Elephas maximus indicus: one gene and its partners. The protein of the gene in region 3 interacts with the protein of the main gene of each other region in a pairwise test. Links are inferred from orthologs where the notes say so. Each region holds a gene or a part of one and is shown on either strand. Other genes may lie near its edges.

Region 1 (7,748 bases), on a different chromosome or scaffold from region 3:
CAACTGTTGACCTAATGTATGTCCCCTTCCTCCTCTCTTAGTTTCTCAATTTATTCGAAGCTAAAACTGGGGAGGTGGGGTTAGCATTAGACCTAGCACTTAGTGGACTTGCTGTTGAGTACTTTTTGCTTCATGGAAAAAACCACAGAAGCATCTACCGGTCACTGGCATAAACAAACAAAAAAAGGCTTAAAAACACTTTTTGCCTTTGCCTTTGTGTGCTGAGTTGGTCAAAAGGAATGAGGATAAACTGATACCGGGTTATTTACAGAGCTGAAAGAACTATATGAAATCTGAAACACTATCCTTAAAGGTGCTTTCTCTATTAACAAATCTAAGGTAGATGAAATAAATCACAACTTTTCTTCTCACCTCAAGTTGATCTTGAGTGAGTTTGAAGTACAGGGTGTTTGGTAAGCGGCTGGGTATTAGGTTAGGGTCATAACCGTGGAGGTTTGTGGAACATCCTGTTTATTAACAAGAGCTACTTAGAGGAAGGGTTAAGGGAAGCCAGTCACAAATATGAAGCAGTACTGCTGAAAAAAAGCACCCAATCCTTCACACCTACACATCATGATAGACATCTTGCCATAGCAATTAGATCCAAAAAGCTTCTTAACTGGGTTTATGTAGCACCTAAAAGTACTTGCTCCAGCGCTTATTTAATCAGTGTTACTTTAGGAATTATTTGGGATTAATCCTTGATTTGGTGCCTAGGGGAGGGGTCAGTGTGGTCTTTGGAGCATCCTGTCCTTTTAGGCACCAATTATACCTTCCTTGCATTCGTTGCCTTCCCCGGATTAAGCCCTCCAGGTACCACTGTTCTTGCTGCAGTTGCTGTTTCCTGTTTTTTAATTGGCTTTGACAAGCCACCAACTCCTGGGATTGCTGAATTAGCTCCTGTAGATCCTTCTGTAACTGTTGGTTCTCTCTGTTGATGCCACGGTAGAACTCAAGAGTATACTGCTTTGCTGCCAACTCCAAGGCTTGGTTCTTCCTTTTAAGCTCTCTTCTTTTTCTCTTTCCCAACTGGCTTATGTCTGGCTCACTCAGTTGTTTCTCCAGTAGTGCTTTTTCCTGGAGGATCTGGACCTGTACTTCCTGTGTCTTTGCAGCTGTCTCATCTTGGACTTTCCTTTTCTCCTCCTGCAATGCCAGCATTTCTATCTCCTGTTTTTCCTTTAATATTAAAATGTCCTTCATTGCCTTCAGCTGGTGTTTCAGAAGGCTTTGGGTCTTTTCCTTCTGCAAGAGCTCTGCTTTAAGCACTGAAGTTTGTTTCCCATATCTTGAGGTTGCCTCCTGCCTCCGTAGTTCAGTCTCCTCACTTTTTTGTACATAGTTGTTCCACATCTTAATGGGCTGCTTTCTGTACTCCTCAGTCTTGTTGGTCAGGTATTCCAGAATGAATTTGTGTTCAGCCTGGACAAGTAACTTTTCAGTGCATAGCTGCCTGCTTTCCTTCTGTAGCTGTTCCTGCTGGATTTGAGCTTGTTCTATTTGATTGTTCAGGTCCACCACTTCCACCATTGCCTTTTTTTTAAACTTCATTTCAGCCTTTGTTAGCTTCTCTGGCTTGAAAAAAGTATTTATTAGACTAAGATATGGTGGAAGAGCTGTCTCAGGGCCCTCATCAAACCTGAAGGGAGAACAAATGACACATTCCCCTGTTGGTTCTTAATGAAAACTTAGGAAATAATTTTTAAAAAATGCACATTTGTACTTGGACTCATACAAGAAAATATTTTTGAGCACCTAATATGTTCCAAGGAATCCCTGGGTTGTGCAAACGTCTAAGTGCTGGACTACTAACTGGACTACAAACCCACCCAGAGGCACCTGGAAGGATCTGCTTCAGAAAGGTCACACAGCCTTGAAAACCCTGTGGAGCAGTTCTACTCTTGACATGCGTGTGGTCACCAAATGGACTCCATGGCAACTAACAACAACATGTTCCAAGGGAATACATTTAGGGGTAAAGATGAGGGACTATAGTTTACAATGCATTCACTACAACGCTGTGAGGCGTTATCTCAATTTTAAAGAGTAGAAAAGTGGTTCACAGAATATAAGTGACCTGTCAATGTTTGGGGCTCTGGTGGTGCAGTGGTTAAGCGTTTGGCTGCTAACCAAAAGGTCGGCAGTTCAAATCCAGCGGCCGCTCCTTTGGAAACCCTATGGGGCAGTTCTACTCTGCCCTAAAGAGTGGCTATGAGTCGGAATTGGCTCGAAGGCAATCGGCTGGGTTTTTGTCAAAGCTTACACACCTAACAAATGGCAGAGCGTGGGTATAAAACCCAGATCTTATGGCTTACAGCCCGTATCAAGGACCTCAAGAACAGATTGGGTGGCCAAGAATAGGAGTCATCTCGGCTTTTTCACCACGTTTCCGCGATGGCGCTTCCATGAGAGAGAACCTCCCCTTCTCAACTCACGTGCGCCTCGGATCCAACGGTTCATCCTCAAGGTGATGGTGATTGTGCAGTTCACTAAGGGTGATGGTCGAGGGGCAAGCGCTAGTGTCCGGGGTCGGCGACACGCGGGAACGGTATCCAAGCGCGTTAAGTTCTCGCAGTGTCTCCGTTCTGTGCTCAACGAGTCTCGGCGCTGCCCAGCAACCCCGGGGGTGGCGCTCGGCCCCAGTCCAGACCCGTCCGGCCCAGACTTGTTTAACCTCCTCGGCTGCAGGGTAAGCCCCAGCAGCCAGTTCTCCCGTGGCTCTGTTTGCTCCTCCTTGGGGGCCGAAAGTGAGACCCACTCTCCTCATTCTAGTTCTGTGGGAGCCTGCCCCCGCGATCCCGTCTCTTCTCCTTCTCCCGGGGACCAGGGCTTTCCTCTTCCCAGGCCCAACCCTATGAAGGTTAACACCCCTTCTCCTTGCCCCTTCAGCCCGCCTCTCGGTTGCCCAGCGTAACCGCTACTCAGTCACTGTCACTAGTTGGCTCCCGAGCTGGGTCGAGACACAAAGAAGACTGTGAGGCACTTCGCCCCGCCCCCCGTCCTTACTCTTCGAGCCCATTCGACTCTATGCTCATTCCCAGCCCAGAGCGTCGCGGAAGTCTCTCTAGCCACGCGGCGTCTCTGTCGTAGGGTGGGCGGATCTAGAAGAAAGATGGCGACTCCCGTAGCTGTGTCAGAGCCACAGGCTTCGGGTGGTCCTCGGCCCACAGTGTGTCTGTTGGTGTTGGGAATGGCGGGATCTGGAAAAACCACTTTCGTACAGGTGACTTACATGGCTCAGCCGTAATAAGGAGTACGTGAGAGGTTGTGCTGAACGGAAGCCTAATAGATAGGGAAGGAGGTTTCTCGGGCGTTGGAGGATACTCGCGCGTGACTTTCTTGCGCTTCAAATCAGCTCCGGTGTCTTTCTTGGCGACGTATTCTCGGATTCTAGCCTGGGTTAATTAAGGCTCTTTTTTGCTTACTCTCAGTGCTCAGTGCATGCTTCATATAATTTACCACGTTGTACTGGAATTGTCTCACCGATAAAATTGCGAACTTCTGAAAGTCGGGAACTTACAGGAAACTCCAGCAGTTAATACAGTGGTAGCACACAGGCTGTCGGTGAAGATCCGTCAAAGAATTATTAATTGCACGCCTACGATGGTCTAGGCACTGAGAACACAGCGACAATAAGGTTGACAAGGTTCTTGCTTTCATGGAACTAATATTTCAGTGGGGGAGACAGGAACTCCTTCCTCCTCCCCAAGCAATTAAGTGAGCGATGGCGAGTAGTAGAGGATGGTGATAAAGGTAGCATTTGAACTGAGAGCTGAATGTTGGAGGTGAACATAGAGAATGGATATTTCAGTTAGAGGGAAGTGTAGGTGCAAAAGCCTTCAGTCACGGGCAGTAAAGGAATGGAAGTTCTCTCTTCTTCTCTTATCGTCCTTTTTCTCTCTTATCGACCTTTTCCTCTCTCTCCACCCGCCTCCTCATGTCTCTGCAGAGGCTCACTGGACACCTGCATAGCCAAGGCTCTCCACCTTATGTGATCAACCTGGACCCAGCTGTGCATGAAGTTCCTTTTCCTGCCAATATTGGTGAGTGAACTATACCAGAGCTTGAGTGAAATGCCTAAAAGGAAATGGAAAGCCTCAGTCTTCTAGTCTTCAGTGCCTTCATTTTTCTCAATATCTACTGTCATTTTCTTGGATTTGTGAGAGTCTCTATCCAGGCTTCTTTATTCACATTTTCTTTTTGTTTACTCCTTTTCCTAAATTTTTTTGTCTCCTTTCCACTTACCTTTACCTCTCCCCTCTTTCTAACCCTAGTGTGTTAGGCTATTCTTATTTGGGTAGATAAGTGACAGGAAGTCAGTCCTGTTGCTTCTGCACTATAAACCCTTCAGCTGACTCTTAAACATAAACCTTTTCCTTTTAATTTCTTAAAGTTTAGTCAGTATAAGGGTTCTTATGCTACAGTTTTGGAAACGCTGGTGGCATAGTGGTTAAGAGCTATGGCTGCTAACCAAAAGGTCGGCAGTTTGAATCCACCAGGCGCTCTTTGGAAAGTCTATGGGGTAATTCTACTCTGTCCTTTAGGGTCACTGTGAGCTGGAATTGACTCAAAAGGCAATGGGTTTTACAGGGTGCTGTAGCTGACTCGCTTATCTATAGGGATCTTGCTCCCACTTCCAAAGTTTCATGGGAAAATATCTGTATAAATGCATATGTATATTGCTCTGGGAAGAGGTTCCCAATTTTCATCAAATTCTAAGAGGAGCCTGTAACTACAAAAAAGATTAAGAATGAATGTGATCCAGCGTTATGATTCTTGTTAAGATCTGGGCTTCCTGATTTCCAGGCCGTCACTGTGTGCTAATTGATCCCTCCTTGTCTCTGGGTTTTGTTTTTTTTTTTTTTTTTTGGCTCTTCTTAATCCTGATTAAACATACCTCAGAGAAATTATGGGTTTGGTTCCAGACCACTGCAATAAAGTGAACTGCAAGAATTTACTGGTTTCCTAGTGCATATAAAATTTATGTTTACACTGTAGTGTAGTCTGTTAATTGTGCAATAGCATTATGTCTGAAAACACAACGTTCATAACTTAATTAAAAAATATTTTATTGCTTAAAAAATGCTAACCATTATCTGAGCAAGTTTAATCCTTTTGCTGATGGAGGGTCTTGCCTTGATGTTGATGACTGCTGAAGCTTGGGGTGGCAGTGGCAGTTTCTTGAAATAAGAAAACAATGAAGTGTGCTACCTTGATTGACTCTTCCCTTTCATGAAAGATTTCTCTGTAGCACATGATACTGTTTGAGAGCATTTGACCCACAGTGGAACTTCTTACAAAATTGGGGTCAGTCTTCTCAAACCCTGCCGCTGCTTTATCAGCTAAGTTTATGTAGTATTCTAAGTCTTTTGTTGTCGTTTGAACAGTGTTCACAGCATCTTCACCAGGACTAGATTCCGTGTCAAGAAATCACTTTCTTTGCTCATCCATAAGAAGCAACTCCTCATCTGTTAAAGTTTTATCATGAGATTGCAGCACTTCAGTCACATCTTCAGGCGCCCCTTCTAATTCAGTTCCCTTGCTCTTGCCAGCACATCTGCAGTTACTCCCTCCACTGAAGTCTTGAATGCCTTAAAGACATTCATGAAGATCAGAATCAACTTCTCCCAAACTCCTGTTAATGTTAATATTTTGATGGTTTTTTTCCCATGAATCACAAGTGTTATTAATGACATCTAGCATGGTGAATCCTTTCCAGAAGGTTTTCAATATACTTTGCCCAGAACCATCAGAAGAATCATTATCTGCAGCAGCTGTAGCCTTACGAAATGTATTTCTTAAATATAAGACTTAAAAGTCAGAATTACTCCTTGATCCATGGGCTGCAGAATGAATATTGCGTTACCCATTTAAAAAAAAAAAAAAAAAACCATTACTGTCAAGTCGATTTCGACTCATAGTGACCCTATAGGACAGTGTGAAAATGTCCCATAGGGGTTCCAAGTAGCAGCTGGTGGATTTGAACTGCCCACTTTTTGGTTAGCAGCCAAGTGCTTAACCACCGAGCCACTAGGGCTCCAGATGTTATTGTTAGCCGGCCTGAGAACATGAATCTTCTTGGACATCTCCGTCAGAGCTCTTGGGTGACCAGGTGCATTGTCAGTAAGCAGTAATACGTTGAATCTTTCTTTCTGAGCAGTAGGTCTCAACCATGAGCTTAACATACTCAGTAAACCATGTTGTAAACAGATGTGCGGTCATCCAGGCTTTGTTGTTCCATTTATAGAGCACAGGCAGAGTAGGTCTGGCATAATTCCTGAGGGCCCTGGGATTTTTGGAATGGTAAATGAGCACTGGTTTCAACTTAAAGTCCCCAGCTGCCTCAGCCCCTAACGAGAGAGTCAGCCTGTTTTTGAAGCGTTGAAGCCAGGTGCTGACTCCTCTCTTGCTCTGAAGGTCCTAGACGGCATCTTCTTCCAGTGTAAGGCTGTTCCGTCTGCATTGCGAATCCATTGTCTAGTGTAGCCGTCCTCATCAATGATCTCAGCTGGACCTTCCGGATAATGTGCTGCAGCTTCTACCTCAGCGCTTGCTGCTTCACCTAGCACTGTTATGTTATGGAGATGGTTTCCTTCCTTAAACCTCATGAACCAGCCTCTGCTGGCTTCAGACTTTTCTTCTGCAGCTCCCTCACCTCTCTCAGCCTTTACAGAATTGAAGAGTGTTAGGGCCTTGCTCTGGATTAGGCTTTGGCTTAAGGGAATGTTGTGGTTGGTTTGACCTTCTATCCAGACCCCTAAAACTTTCTCCATATCAGCAATAGGGCTGTTCCACTTATCATTCATGTGTTCGCTTTTAGTTTCCTTCAAGAACTTTTCCTTTGCATTCACAACTTGGCTAGCTGTTTGTTGTAAGAAGCCTAGATTTTGGACTGTCTCAGCTTTCGACATGCCTTTGTCACCAAGCTTAATCATTTCTAGCTTTTGATTTAAAGTGAGAGACGTGTGACTCTTCCTTTCACTTAGAGGCCACTGTAGGGCTGTTAATTGGTCTGATTTCAATATTGTTGTATCTCAGGCAATAGGGAGGCCTGAGGAGAGGGGGAGAAATGGGGAAATGGTTGGTGGAGCAGTTAGAACACACACAACATTTATTGATTAAGTTTGCCGTCTTATATGAGCATTGTTTGTGGCGTCCCAAGACAATTAAAATAATAATATCAAAGATCACTGATCACAGATCACTGTAACAGATAGAATAATAATGAAAATGTTTGAAATATTGCAAAGAGTACGAAAATGTGACACAGAGACACAAAGTGAGCAGATGCTGTTGGAAAAATGGTGCCAGTAGACATGCTCACTGCAGCATTGCCACAAGCCTTCAGTTTGTAAAAAAACACAGTATATGTGAAGTGCAGTGAAGTGAGGTATGCATATACTCCAAACATACTAATGAAAGGGAGACTCTGTAGTAAGAGGCAGATATAATTTTTGGAGTAATTTGGGAAAAAAATTGCCTATCTTTCACCTAAAGAATGGAGTTCTAATAGTTGATGGGAGAGGCCTACAGACTGGTAAGAAGATTTAGTTAGCTATTAGTGGACAGACTAGTTTCTTTTTCAAAATAATGTCTGCCTTGCCGTTGTCACCAGTAGACAATTAGTAAGAGATAAACTTTTTTGTTGATTTGGGTCCCTTTTTTCTGTGTGTATGGTCAATGATAAAATAGTTCAATTGTATAAAGCTTCTCACCTTGTCTCAGGCCTTATCTACCACATAATTTGA
Region 2 (7,954 bases), on a different chromosome or scaffold from region 3:
GTCCTGTGGGGTTGCTATGATTCGGAATCAACTCAGCGGCCATGGGGTTTGGTCCGGTTTATTGAGTATTTACTATAACTTATTGGCTTACAGTTCTGGAGGCTAGGAGTTTAAAATCAAGGTATCAGTCATGTTGATTAATTGCTTCTGAGGGCTCTGAGGAAGAATCTGTTCCATGCCTCTCTCCTCTTTTCTTGCAGTCCTTGGCTTACAGCTATATTACTCTGATTTCTGCCTCCATTGTCATATGGCTGTCTTCCCTCTGTGTGTGTCTCTATGTGTTCCTTCTCCTCTTTTACAAGAACACCACCCAGATTGGATTAGGACCCACTTTACCCCAGTATGACCTCATGTTAGCGTAACTGATAACATCTTCGAAGACTATTTCCTAACAAGGTCATATTCACAGGTACCATGGGTTAGGACTTCAATATACCTTTTTGGGAAACACAATTGAATCCATTAGAACCTGGGTTATATCATTTAATCCTGAAAACATTCCTGCGGAGCAGGATTTTGGTAGCTAGAAGTAGACTGCAATCTGAAGAGAGAGGGGGAGGATAGGGAGAAAGAAATGAATAAAAACCTGGAGGCAAGAAGAGACTCGATGAATTTTGAAGACAGTGATGAGACTTACCAGGTCAAAGCGAAGGGACTGTCTGGGACAATAATGACAAAGATGTCGGTTTGGGAGAAAGTTTGGGAGAGTGAGGCAAAATTATGTGAGGCCTTAACAACCACACCAAAGGATTTTACATTTTATTTAATGAGCAAAACAAAGAGAAATTATACGTCTATGACTTGAGAAAGGAGGATACAGAGTGGAAGTAGAAATTTTGGTACCCGGATTTGGTGGCAGGCATTCTGCTGTAAAACCCCAAGGGCACAGTGTGTTTGCTCATATCCCCAGAACCCACAGCCTCTACCAGTCACTACTGGTTACCACTAGTCATAGTTGCCTACAAACAAACACTTTAAGAAAGGTTTATTGAAGGAATGAATGAATGAAATAGGAATTGGATTGGAGGTTGTTTCTAGGTGTGAAGTGATGAGAGCATGGTCTGTGTTTAAGACAGTGGGCATGGAAATACGTAGAGTCAAATCCTAGAACCATTTTCAAAGAAAAAATAATAGGATTTAGGGGATGGATATAACCTACTGGGCATAAATTAATATTTAGAGCCATATTTTAGGTTTATTATATACAGCAGCAGCGTACTTGCATTTGACACATTGTAAGTTTTTTTTTTTTTTTTTAACAGAAATTTGGTATTTGAAACAAATCACATTTCAAGGGTGAGGCTATTATAAGTAATTATTATCACCATAAAAACTTACGTTTCTTTACTGTCTACTCATATTCCCTCCACCCAACTTCTTAGCAGTTTTACCTCATACCTGGAGAGTTGTCCTTGTCACCCACTGAATGCTGGCCAGAGTAAACCTTCACATCCTCAAACCTACCTGGCAGTTGCCTCCTCCCACTCTCTTGTTCATACAGTTTCTTCCTCCCACGAATACCCTTTCTTCTACCACTTCATTCCCATGTCCAGCTGCCATCCTTCAAAACCAAATCGTATGTCACCTTGTCTGTGAAGTCTAATGAACCCAGCTGGAACCAACAGCTCCCTTTTCTGAACCCCTACAGCACTGCATTTGGTTATCTAGGTATCTCTTTACTAGTATCTTATTTGTATTTCCGAAACGATAGCACTGTGTGTTGCTTAGTTATTCAATAAATATTTGTGGCATGAAATAAAGCTATTTTTAAATACTGCAGATCCCTTCCCAACCAAACAAGAGTTTCCCTTTGAGGAAATATTAGTTCAGTTTTGCAGTAATATACTTTTTTCTTTTTGCAATGTTTAGAATTTCACATCACTTTTGTTTGGTACATTTAGAAAAAGGTAACTTACAGGTTAGGAATAGAAAAGAAAGTTCAAGTGTAAGAAATTGTTCCGTGGGATACAGGAAACAAACAAACAAAAAACTCAACTAAACCCTTTGTTGTCGAGTTGATTTGGACTCATGGTGATCCCATGTGTGCAGAGTAGAACTACATTCTGTAGGGTTTTCAAGGCTGTGATTTTTCAGAAGCAGATGGACAGGCCTTTCTTTTGAGGCACTCTGGGTGGGTTCGAATTACCAACCTTTCTGTTAGTCCAGTGCTTGCTTAACTGTTTGCACTACCCAGGGAGTCCCAGGATAAAGGAAGCTGAAGAAAATTAAACCTGGGCCTTCATTGCTGCACTCCTCTTCCTTAGGAGAGAGGGAAGTGAACTGAACTCATGAGGTCCTTGGGACTCCAGCCTTTGTCTCCTTGGGAACCCAGTAGAATCTGGGAGTTAAAAATCCAGGGCATTGAGAAACTGGATGGAGAACCGATACAAAAACAGGTATCTCTTAGCAGGTGTATTATCTGCAAGGAGAAAAAAAGGAGAAAAAAAGGCAGCTGAAATTGTAAGCGTATCTCTGAACCTTTGTGCAGGGCAAATCTAGACTTTCTAGAGAATAAGGAACTTAGATAATTATTTTAATGAAAGTAAAAGAAATTATTCATTTCCTTGGCTTGCTCATGACTTAAGATCCTATTTTGTTCTATAAAGTCTTCCAATTGTGACTTCTACTATTAGGATTTTAAGCTGGAGAGGAATATTATACTAATTTCAGCCAGTATTTTCTGAGTCGTTAAACCTCGCATCTTGGAAACCCTCTGCGGGCAGTTCTGCTCTGTCCTATACAGTCTCTATGAGGCGGGAACCGACTGGACTGCACACAACAACATTCCATTCCCAGTGCTGGTGGCAATTCTTGAGGTTCCCAGACTTTGACATGCTCTTGTGACCCTGAGCCTTTACAGATGCTGCTTCCCTTGCCTAAGATACCTTTCTTCTCCTCATTTTTTCTTTTTTGGCAAGGTTAACGCATACTTATCCTAAAATTTTTCTCAGATATTATCTTCTCCAAAAGCCTTCCCTGAATGCTTTCATTGGAGCCACTCCCCATGATTTGGGTGCCACTGCAGCCTGTTCCCATGATGGCCTCGGCTTTCCTCATAACATTTACCACATAGTGTGGCAATTGTCATTCACAGGTCTTTCTCCCCCACTGTGCAGGCTCTTACTGGAGCCCTGTGAGTGCCAAGCAATCAGCAGCATACTTGGGAGGCAGTAAGCGCTCCCTAAATACTCACTGAGTGAATGCAGTCTTGGTTTAAGAAATGCAGGTGAAAGTCCTGCCTCACAGGGTGAGTTGTTACTATTGTAATTTTAGAATAATTTTGGAGAACTGCAATCTATGTCTCTCCTTGTCTTCTCCCCACTTCATGGAGTGTAGCTAAAGCAACCTGGAAAATAGCAGTGTGCCTATGTGCCCTAAGCTAATAACAGTTCATTCCAACCCAGCATTTAAGAACACTGATTATTTTTACTATGTGGCCTCCAGGGGAAAAGCAGATTTAAAAAAACACTTTTGTATTTTGGCTAACACTTGAAACTTTGTTGCCAAACGTATCAAATCCACCCCAGCAATCTTTTTTGATTTTAACAACATTCCACTGGAAAGAGGTCTCTGGATACTGGTTTTTGCCATGTGGTGTAATAAAAACCAAATGTCAGCCATCTATCACAGCCATCTACATTTCTTCTAATAATTCAGTTATTCCTATTTGGGGGGGGGGGGACAGGGCAGAAACACTACAAGTCTTTATATGATTCGATTTTATAAACTTTTTCAGAGAACAAATGATAAGAATAAGTGTGAGCCCATGGCTATGTTGAAGCAGCATTATCTTTCGGCACAGAAAACTGGGAGCTGAATATAAAGAATACGCAAAAGTCCACTGCCGTCGAATCGATTTCACACTCATAGCAACCCTATTAGGACAGAGTACAACTGCCCTATAGGGTTTCCAAGGCTGTAAATCTTTGGGGAAGCAGACTGCCACATCTTTCTCCTGCAGAGCAGCTGGTGGGTTCCAAGCCTTGACGGTCAGGTTCGCAGCCGAGCGCTTTAACCACTGCACCACCAAGGCTCCCTATATAGACTTGAAAAGTTTGAAGATCTCGCTTAAAATTTTTCCTGGAGATTAGTGTCCAATAACCATTCCGTTTGCTCTAATTACGACAAAAAAGTTAATATGCAGGATTAAAAAAAAGAAAAAAAACCCACTTGGGACAAGTGTAGGATGCTTACCGTTTTTATGAGCCCAGTGGGTGGGAAACTGACCAATGATTTTATGGGGAGCCTATCAAATAATATAACCCAAAGTTTCATTAGACGTAAAAATAATTGCTAGTACACGTTCATCCAAAGTAACTTTTTGCTCCTAATTTCGTGTGCATTTTTGTTTTAAAGACATAAAAGGCTGGGATAATTAAGATATGCATTCACCCACCCAGCTTAGCATCGGTGCGCATCACTTCTGAAACGCCTTTCAAGCCCCACCGAAAGTGGCTTGGGCATAGCCCTGGGCATCGCCCAGCCCTCGCGCCGGCCGTCGTCGGGGAAAGCGCCCGGGCTGCTGCGATGACAGGTGCCCGAGCCCCCGGACCCCGCGCGGGCGCAGCCCCGGAGGGAGCAGGGCAAAAACAGCCACACGCATTTCTCTCCCCGTTGCCCTTCGAAAAGCCGGGGAGCGGGCGGACACCGGTTTTCCGCACCTTCACCCCTCAGGAAGCAGCGATAGGAGGGCGCGGGCGCGAGACAGCGTGTGCGCGAAAGGGGGCTGAGCAGCGAGAAGTCGGCTCGGACACCTGAGCGTCCCGACGTCCGGCTGTCCCGGCGCGCGGCGGCCCTGTCCGCCTCCCGGGCCGCGGAGGGCGGGGGCCGCGAGCAGCGAGCGCGGGGAGCGAGGCCGGCGGGAGCCGGGGGTTGGCGGGACGCGCGCTCCGTGCCGGCGCCCGGTCTCGAGCCCGCGCCCCCCCCCGCGTGCCCGCGCCGCTGCGCGATGCAGTGTGGGGAATGGCTGGGGTTGGCTGAAGAGCGCACAGTGGAGTTTTAATGTCCGCCATGTTGGCCATGGCGTATTGAAGAGAGCGAGAGAGAGAGGAGCGGAGCGGCACAGACTCCCACCCTCCCGGCTGCTGTTAGTGCCCGGACGGCGGGCTCTGCGCTCCGCCCCTCAAGTCCCCGGCAGCGGTAGGCGAGTGGGGACCGAACCCCCGGTTCTCCATGATCCCGCTGGCCGGGGCCGTTTCCCCAGAGCGGAGAGGTATCTGCTGCGCCTGAGATGAGTAAACTGTCGTTTCGGGCGCGGGCGCTAGACGCCTCGAAGCCGCTGCCGGTTTTCCGCTGTGAGGATCTGCCCGACCTGCACGAATACGCCTCGATAAACCGGGCCGTGCCGCAGATGCCCACCGGAATGGAGAAGGAAGAGGAGTCGGTACGTGTTAACTCCCCTGTCCGACCCACCGCCAGGCCCCGCTCCCTCTGCTGCCTGCGGCGGCGACGGAGCACCATAATCACACAAAATGGCCGCCATCTTCTCCTCCCCGCCGACACTCAGTCGCCGGCCGGGCCCTTACCCCGCCTCCCCCGGCCTCGACCCCCGGCCGCCGCGGCCCGCTAGGGCCTCCTCTAAGGCTAGCCGCCGACACTGGCCACTCGTACCCAGGTCCCGCGGAGTCCGGGGGACCCGAAAGGCACAAAGGGGTCACGTGACGAAGCTGCCGGCAGCCATTTTGTGGTCTTTAGTTCTTGGGTTGGGCCCTTCGCATCCGGAGAGGGGAACGGGTTGGGTGGCGGTGGGGTGCGGCGAGCTGGGAGCCGGGCAGGACCTGCCTGCAGGCCTCTTGGCGGGCCGCTGGGTGGCGCTCTGGGGTCGCCTCGGCCTCGCGCCGCTGCCGCCGCCGGGGCGCGCAGGGCCTGCCACCGCGGGGCGTTTGGTGCCTTCAGCGCTCGTGGGGCTCAGGCCGCGCGTCCGCCAGCGGGGGCCTCGGAAGTGCCGGTGCTGTTGACAGCAGGTCGGTCTGTCGCGGGTATTGCACATCGGCCGCGACGACTTACTTTCCTGGGAGGTTTGACCGACTTGCAGTATTCCCTTTCTGGGACTTTCGCATCCGTCCCTCTCCAGTACCAGTTAGTCGGAGGGGTGATAAACTGCTCCCCCTGACTTTTTCTTTGATCTTTCAGAGTATGTTGCCGATTTGCTTGGGGTACGTGGCTCTTCGAAAGGCTGTAACTTTGTTATTTTTTCTGTAACATGTAAGTTTGCCTGCGTTCTGGTCTCAGCCTAAGGGGAGAAAAGACCCGATTTAAAGTAAATGTCATAGATGTGGATTTCGAAAGAGGGTCATTTCTCATCCATAACTGAGCTGAAAATTAAATCACTTTGTTCACAGACGTCTTAACATAAGGCGATTGAAATGTCTGAAGTGGGTGGGTTTCAGTATTTAAATGACTGTTTACAGCTAATAGACATTTTGCCATATATGTGGCTTTACCGTGTTATGGAAGTTGAGTTCAGACGCAAGGATAATAGAATGTCCCTCTCATTTCCCCCAGATCCTTGACAGTGTAACTTGATGACTTCTAATCCTAAGGAATTGCATACCTTGGTTTTCAGCCATTTAAACAGGGCGCAGTGTATTGACAGTTCAAGGAAGTCAAGGAGTCGCGGATTTGTCTGCTGCAAATTTGTTGTGGAAAATTGTAATGCTTTCATTTGGTACTGTAAGAATTTTAAATGTAGTAATTATGCTCTGTAATGTTTTTGAAAATAAAACTGTTTAAACCATTTGGGTTGTTTAACCTTTTAAAGTAAAATAGTTGTGGCAGTTAAATGTTACTTTTGGGTAGTGTCTTAAATCTAACTTTAAAGATAAGCTAAGCGCTAAGTGTATGTAGTAGTTGAGATTGTCTAGTGCAGTACTGACTTTCAGCACCTTATCTATGAGACAGTACCTCTTTTTTTTTTTTTTTTTGGCTTGTATCAACTTTAGAGTAGAATGGTGCCATTTGTTTATTTTTAAATAAGTGATTTGTTTTTAAAAATTAAAGTACTTGTGACTGCAGAATCTTGTCTTGGTTTTTTGTTTCTAAGTTTTACAGATAATATTTTCAAGATGGGGTGTTGGTGTTACATGGTCTTTGAAATTAATTTCTAGTTTTTGTTTTGCAGCCAAGGGCAGACCCTTGATTAAAGCTGGGTAGCACTACAGTACACTTTAGAAGTTTAGTTTTGTTTCTGGGAATACTTTGAGCAGTCCCAAGAGCTACAATCTAAAATCAGAGCCAAGTTTAACTGAAGCATCAGTGCTTCTTAAATTTACAGGTAATTTTTGCTCACTGAAATAATTTCCACATTTTATAGTGCACTAGATATCATTCCCTGGTGGTGTAGTGATTAAGAGCTTGGTTGTTAACTAAAAGGGCAGCAGTTCAGATCCACCAACTGCTTCTTGGAAACCCTACGGACAGTTCTACTCTGTGTCATATAGGGCCTCTGTGAGTCGGAACCGACTCAACGGCACATAACTGCAACAACAAGACATTTTTTCCATAACACTATCCTTTTCATCATCTGTTTAGAATTTGTTCCACTTTACATCCAACTGAAGCTGTATGACCAGAGAAGCACGTTGTTGTTAGATGCCGTCAAGTTGGTTCCGACCTATAGTGACAGAATGTATAACAAACACTGCCTGGTTCTGCGCCATCCTCACAGTTGTTGGCATGTTTGAACCCATTGTTGCAGCCACTGTGTCAGCCCATCTCATTGAGGATTTTCCTCTTTTTCACTCACCCTCTACCGAGAATGGTGTCCTTCTCCGGAGACTAATCGATCTCTCCTGATAACGTGTCCAAAGTACATGAGACCAAGTGTTGCCATCCTCGATTCTAAGGAGCATTCTGGCTGTACTTCTTCCAAGACAGATTTACTCATTCTCCTGGCAGTCCATGGTATAGTCACTCCTCTTCATCATCAGAATTCAGATGCATCAGTCGTTTATCT
Region 3 (7,153 bases):
TAGTATGTAAAGCTTCCCAAATAGTCTTCTTCTTACTCTATGCCTGAAATTTGATCATTTCCTATATTTCACCCCAAAAGTTTCTGTAAGTTCTCCCACTATCCAGGATGCTTATTAAGATATAATTAAGTAAGAAATATTTTTGAGCTATCCCTTATAGAGGTTCACCCTTGACCAAAAACGCAAAGTTTTCAGAAAATAGCAATGAAAGGCAAGTAGGTATAATCAACCTCATTCCTAAACAACTGGTGCTTCTGATAAAATGAAAATAAGAATATCGGAATAAAACTTTGCCTAAATGAATAATGTAAATATCAGATACTGTTCAACTATTTATGCCTATATTATCAGAACATATACCAGTGTGTTTATTGAACTGGGTATCCTCCCCTCTAAGAAAACAAATTTTCCTTAACTTTTAAGCAATTAAAAGCTTGTTCTCATGTGTGAGAACCAGTAGCCCACTAGTAAGTAGGAGAAACAAAACATAAGTCTATGCCTCAACTTCCCAACTATTACATAGATTATAACATTTGCTCTAGTCTACACTTAAAGGTTGGAAATAGAACTAAAATCCATTTTACCTAACTCAATCCAACATTCTTATTTTCTCCTCCTTCAAGTATGAGCAGAATTGGCTGGTATGCACCCAAACTTTATTAATATAGAAATCCATCACAATTATATAGAGAAATCACACCACCTCCTTTTTAAATTTACCTTACATAAAACCAGAACCAGTTGTGTGATGTATCTGCAGAAAAATGGAGGCAGGTCTATGTGCAAAGGGAATGTTTTGTAAATGTAAAGGTTGCTACACTTTAGGAAGTAAATTCTGTATTCACTTTTTTTTTTTTTAAATAATTATGTCCTCTTGGTATAACCATTTAAATGCAACATAGTATATTTTTAGTCAAATGACATTTTTCAAAATGGCACACTGGTGATTTGGGAGGCTTTTTTTTTTTTAATCTCTTTCTCACTCTCTCTTTGCTTTCTGTAAAGAGCACTCCCAACTGGACATCAGCTGGCAGAGCCACCAAGGCAGCAACAAGGACAAAGTCTACAGTCAGAATTTAAAATGACAGCTCGGCAGGTATCACACTTCCTAGGCATCTGAACAGGCCAAAGGTAGAAAAGTGAAGGGTTTGTCTAAAAGGTATGGGGCACTCTCAAATCCTTCAAGGAAAAAGACCTTGAGCTGGGACAGCTATGATTGTGGAGTGCTACATACTAATAATTTTCCTTCTCAGGCTGACTATATCAGTGGGGAATATTAAGATGGCAGTGGTCATCGCTCCTAGATCATTGCTGTTATTGTATGCTGTGGGGTTGATTCTGACTCAAAGCTACCCTACAGGACAGAGGAGAATTGCCTCATAGGGTTTCCCAGGCTGTAATCTTTACAGGACTAGATTGCCAGGTCTTTTCTCCCAGAAAGCTGCTGGTAGGTTTGAATCACAGATCTTTCAGTTAATAGCCGAGCTCTTAAACATTGCACTGCCAAAGCACCTTCCTAGATCATTCCAAACCAAAACCCGTTGCCCTAGTGTGGATTCTGACTCATAGAGACCCTATAGTACAGAGTAGAACTCCCCCATAGGGTTTCTGAGGCAGTAAATTTTACGGAATACTGCCACATAATTCTGCCGGGAAGTGGCTGGTGGGTATGAACGGCCCACCTTTTGGTTGGCAGCCAAGCACTTGACCACTGCACCATAGGGCTCTTTGTTCTAGATCATTAAAAAAAAAATTAGCCCCTCTCAATTCCTGATGTTTAATGAGTTGGTGAGGAGCCATGGTGGCACAAAAGTTAAGCACCAGGCTGCTAACCCAAAAGTTGGCAGTGTGAACCCACCCAGTGGGCTCTGCAGGAGAAACACCTGGTGATCTGCTCCATAAAGATTACGGCTAGAAAACCCTATAGGGCAGTTCTACTCTGTCTCGTGGGGTCACTATTAGTTAAAATCTAAGACAATGCCTACAACAACAGCAAGCTGATACTTGTTAGAATGACAGTCAGACTCCCAATTATTTCAAATTCTGTATGACGGGCAGAATTCTCCAGTGAAACCACACCAATCCCTGCACTAAGGAGTCAGGAAGTGCTCTTCTCCAAAACATTCCATGTTTTACAATTTCAGACAGTTAAGGCAAAAATACACATATAATGATAACTGGGATTTAATATTATGCAAGCATATTATGCAAGTATATTATGCAGAGAAAAAAATACCTCATCTAAAAGACAACAGGCTAAGAGCCCTTCTCTAATGAAGACCCTGGGAGGTTGAGTTTTGGAGAGAGGGTTGGATAGAAAGAACTAAGGTGTCTGAAGCCTCCTTACTTTTCTCCTCGATAGTCTTCCTTTCGTCACCACTTTCAGGACAGCACTAGAAGGAGAGCAAGTGTGACAAATACATTAAGACTGCATCACTGGATGGAACGGATACAGGGTGCCCAAAGCGCATCCACTGGTCGGGAGAGAGGTTCCAGATCCCTTTCTTAGGGGCCTCCCCGAGGGGCTTAGGTCATCCGATGCAGCTTCAAAAGGGGCCATCTCCCCGGAAGGTCTGTGCCACCTCAAGGGGACCGCCAGGGACACCTCTCCGGGGGCTCTGGGGCCACCTCATCAGAGTGGCAAGGGCCACTTCACCGAGATCACAAGGGCCATCTCCCCCGGGCCGCCGAAACCACCTCTCCGGACCAAAAGGGCCACCTCACTGGGACTACGTCCCCTGGGAGATCTACGCCACCTCACCAGACCACCAGTGCCAACTTTCCGGGGACACTGGGGACACCTCCCTTGGAGGGTTATGTCCCCTCCCCGGAACAGCAAGTTCGCCTCACCAGGGCCGCCGGCGGCTCGCCTATCTCGCCTGCTGGGAGCATCCCGCCCGTGCGCGCGTCCTTAGCTCCATGCACAGCCAGGGTGTCCTGTGCAGTCCTGCTCCGGCCAGTGATGACAGAGACACCAGCTCAGCCTCGGCAGCTGCTGGGATGTACGTCACCGCGACTTCCTCTAGTCGTCTCTGTGGTTTCTTCCTCTTGGCCCAGAGAGGCCCTGCCCGCGCAGCCGCCGACTGTGGGCTAGGGCTCCTCCTACCTGCCAGGGATGGGACCTGCAACTCAAAGAGCAGGCGCTTGCCCTCTTCCAAGGTTCGCAAGAGAAGCAGAGAATCCCCCCAACCATGGTAGCGCCTCCCCCCCCCACTTAATTGGGACCCTTAATTACTTGTATACTTGAGGATATCCCTCCCTCCCTTCCCACCATAAATTCAATAAGAGTTGTTTAAATTTATATTTTAAATGGTATCCTTGATTTTCTGCTTACATTTAAGAATAGACAAATAAAGGAACTGATCAGATATTCTGAAAGTGTGAGTAGGCTTGTTGGCGACGAGCTTCAAAGGACAGTTATTTAGTTGGGCTGTTTAGTCGGAGAATCTCCAATGTCAGTATCTTTGGCTCTTTCTTTTAAGGCAGATCAGATTCCCTAGAGATAACCCTCCAATTTCCTGCCTGGATGGTGCAGATTTGATTGCAAATGTCCTGGGAGCTGAATGGACTAAGAGGACTCAGCATCTAATACGCACTTTGTCCAGTGCAGAGACCCAAGAAATACCTGTCCATTGCTAGGGAGGAGGAAGGTGAGTTACCTAGCAATGAGGATACCTAGCAGCCAGGAGTAGGGAGGGGACCCACGGATTTGACTACTTCATAAACAAACTAACAGGGAAAGTAGGCAAGTGGTAAGGAGCCTTGGTGGTGCAACAGTTAAGCACTCAGCTGCTAACTGAAACGTTTGTAGTTTGAACTCCCCCAGCCGCTAGGAGAAAGACCTGGCAGTCTGCTCCCACAAAGATTGCAGCCTAGAAAACCCTATGGGGCAGTTCTACTCTGTCACATGGCGTTGCTATGAGTGATCTATTCAATGGCACCTAACAAGGACAGTAACAATAACCTAGAGATCAAAGCATACGGGGCGGGGGAGGGGGGTGGTGTTGGGGAAGCAACCCTTTGAGGAAACAGAAACCACTCTGAGAGTGTGAGTGGAGGTCGCTGTGAGGAGAAAACTTAAAAAAAAAAAAAAACCAGTACTCTAAGAAAGGTTCGAGACACCCTTGCAATCATTAAACAAGAACAGGATACTATCTGTAAAGGAGCATTTAGAGACCCCCCTCGAAATATATATACATGTATATGTATATATATAGCTATATATATCCTGTTCTTTTTATTCAACGCCCACGGAAGCAGCAGTCAAGAAATCAAACGACGTATCACATTGGGCAATTCTGCAGCAAAAGACCTCTTTCAAGTATTAAAAAGTAAAGATGTCACTTTGAGGACTAAAGTGCACATGACCCAAGCGATGGTATTTTCAATTGCCTCAAATGAATGCAAAAGCTGGTCAATGAGTAAGGAAGACCAAAGAAAAATTGATGCCTTTAAATTACGGTGTTGGAGAAAAATACTGAATACACCATGGACTGCCAGAAGAACGAACAAATCTGTTCCTGTCTTGGAAGAAGTACAGCCAGAATGCTCCTTAGAAGCAAGAATGGTGAGAATTCATCTTACATAGTTTGGACATGTTATTAGGAGGGACCAGTCCCTGGAGAAAGACATCATGCTTGGTAAAGTAGAGGGTCAGCGAAAATGAGGAAGACCCTTAACGAGATGGATTGACACAGTGGCTGGAACAATGGACTCAAACATAGCAAAGATTGTGAGGATGGTGAAGGACTGGGCAGTGTTTTGTTCTATTGTACAGTGGGTTGCTATGAGTCGGAAACAACTCAATGACACCTAACGAGAACAATAAAATGAGAAAATAGACCAAGAAAGAAGAAAACAGGAAATAACAGAAGATATAACACAAGAGAAAAAGGAAGTGAGAGGCATGACAACAACTGAGCTTTAGGCTAGGTGGATGCAGGTCAGAAGGCTCCAGAAGACTCCTTCAGAAGGATGAAATTGATAGAACACCTCATGTAGCTGAATCACTAGAGAGGGAAGTTTAAACAATTGTAGAGTTCAGGCTTGGCTTAGGGATGAGTAAGTAAATGAAAATAAGATTATTATTAACTACTGGAAAAACAAAAAACTGTGCAGGAAATGAAAAGCGGTACTTAAGCTAAGATGTGAATAATATTTACCTAGACACCATGAAGCAAACACAAATCTAATAAAAAGTACCATATAATTAACTGTATATTGAGCGGAAACCCTGGTGGTTAAGAGCTACGGCTGCTAACCAAAAGTCGGAAGTTGAAATCCACCAAGTGCTCCTTGGAAACTGTATGGGGCAGTTCTACTCTGTCCTATAGGGTCGCTATGAGTTGGAATTGACTCAAAGGCAAGGGTTTGGGTTTTTGGTATATTGAGCAGGTGGAGGAATGAGAAGCATGGAAATGAAAGGAGAGCTAAATCCTCATTTTCAATTAAATGAAGTCAGTAGATAATGCCTAAAAAGGAAAAATCAGGCAATAGCAATACAAGCATGTTATATAGAGAAATAAAGGTAAATAACAAAACAATCAGTTAAAAGAAGTGAAATGACGGCCTTTGAGGAGGGGAAAACAGGTGAGGGAAGAGGTGAGGAAGCAGTCCCAGCTGTTTCTTTGCAAACCTGATGAGGTTTCTACAGAATCATTTGACTCTAAACCACAGGCATGTAGAACTCTAATAAAAATAAAGGAGAAAAAAAGATAATCCTAAATCCAAATTCTTGCCTCTGAAGAACTCACTTTCTAGTAAAAGAAATAGACATGGAAATAATATAAAATTAGTGTTTACAATGACTGAAGGAGCACAGAGAACAGTTAAGTACTATCCGGGGAGTGGGGGAAGGCATCTTAGAAGGACAGAATACTAGGTGATAATAAGAACTAAAGAAAAGATAGATTTCATGTGATAGGCATTTAGCAACCTGTACTGCTGGTATAGAGTTAAAAGGAGAATACCAAATATTGTACAGAATATACTTGTTAGGATGGACTCAAAGCTGAGGAGAATATTCAACTGTTAAATATTTACTAGAAAGAATTGGAATTAGGAGGGGCTTTCAACACTTCTTGTTATTTTAACTATAAACGCCAATTTGTCCGTTTTGGTAAACAGAAAACTAAACTTGGACCTTGTGTAAGGCAATTTAGGCTGAAATGTAGAAGGGTAAGTTTTGACTATGGACTCAGCTAGTGGCCAAAGAAATGTGAACTTTCTTTCCTCTACATGCATTTATGAGGAATTGGGCTGTAACCCCAGAGAAGGTATCTTCCTAAAGCATATAAAAATAAAGAATTTGGGATTGAATTATTACTGTGTGGCTATGGTAAAAATATCTGCGGGGGTTGTCACTGGAATATTAACCTATGAATTAGCCAAAGCCCAGGACTCGTGACTGCACAGAGGTTAAGGACAGAAAAACATCAGAGGTACTTAAACTGAGGTGAATAGTCTCAGAGGAAAGCAGTACAGAACCCCACCAGTCTGAGCAAATTATCTATGACTCTTTTGACCAGATCCCCATAAGTAAACTCAGGTTTTAAAAACAAGCCTAGAAGAAATATAAGGATTTAACACACTGGTTGTTTACTCAGGGTTGAAATTTGGCAAAATTATTAGACGTGTAAAACCTATTAGGGGCTAGGATTTGGTTGGGAAATGTATGCGTCTTAAAGAGCATGGGAAGAGGAATGACATTTATTTTTCTTTACACAGAAGAACTTGCTATAATCAGGTTTCTAGAAGATGATTCTTTTGTGGACCTGTCAAGCAGGCAGGGTAATTTGAGGAAGAGGGACAATGGTGCTCTTGGATTGCTGCAATCAAAGGAAATTATATGTAAAACAAACCAGTGCCTAAAGTGATTCTTTTTTCATTATTAAATGCCTGGTGGAAGCCATCAATAAAGGGCCAAAACTACCCATGAAATTATTGCCCTGAAATAATCTTTAAACCTTAAACGAAAAATATCTCCTGAAGTCATCTTAAAAAGGGAAGAATAGTTTCACTAGTAGAAAAAGCTCTGCCTTTAAAGGGGCTCAGAAGCTGACTTAATGGACATGAAAATAGAGGGTGGAGAGAAGGAGTGTGCTGTCTCATTAGGGGGAGGGCAGCTAGGCATGTATAGAAAGGTGTGTATAAA

Evidence for each region. The genes of interacting proteins can lie anywhere in the genome.
Region 1: the proteins of RINT1 (region 3) and CCDC121 interact in binary tests that used the Homo sapiens proteins (3 or more experiments, as listed by UniProt). The two-hybrid records come from large-scale screens. The link is inferred for Elephas maximus indicus from reciprocal best matches to the Homo sapiens genes RINT1 and CCDC121.
Region 2: the proteins of RINT1 (region 3) and EPC1 interact in binary tests that used the Homo sapiens proteins (3 or more experiments, as listed by UniProt). The two-hybrid records come from large-scale screens. The link is inferred for Elephas maximus indicus from reciprocal best matches to the Homo sapiens genes RINT1 and EPC1.

What each region holds. Positions count from the first base shown.
Region 1 is NC_064830.1:46,146,164-46,153,911, forward strand, and holds the start of CCDC121 (coiled-coil domain-containing protein 121), read right to left. Parts: upstream 3,006-7,748; 5' UTR 2,768-3,005; coding exon 2,436-2,767; intron 1,640-2,435; coding exon 685-1,639; 3' UTR 1-684. Other genes in the region: GPN1 (GPN-loop GTPase 1), read left to right, coding at 3,113-3,223, 3,950-4,043.
Region 2 is NC_064822.1:5,673,090-5,681,043, reverse strand, and holds the start of EPC1 (enhancer of polycomb homolog 1), read left to right. Parts: upstream 1-5,021; 5' UTR 5,022-5,230; coding exon 5,231-5,383; intron 5,384-7,954. Other genes in the region: translation initiation factor IF-2-like, read right to left, coding at 4,671-5,021. UniProt on the Homo sapiens protein: Component of the NuA4 histone acetyltransferase (HAT) complex, a multiprotein complex involved in transcriptional activation of select genes principally by acetylation of nucleosomal histones H4 and H2A.
Region 3 is NC_064826.1:44,103,393-44,110,545, forward strand, and holds the start of RINT1 (RAD50-interacting protein 1), read right to left. Parts: upstream 3,012-7,153; 5' UTR 2,893-3,011; coding exon 2,851-2,892; intron 2,394-2,850; coding exon 2,348-2,393; exon of another isoform or gene 2,237-2,347; intron 1-2,236. UniProt on the Homo sapiens protein: Involved in regulation of membrane traffic between the Golgi and the endoplasmic reticulum (ER); the function is proposed to depend on its association in the NRZ complex which is believed to play a role in SNARE assembly at the ER.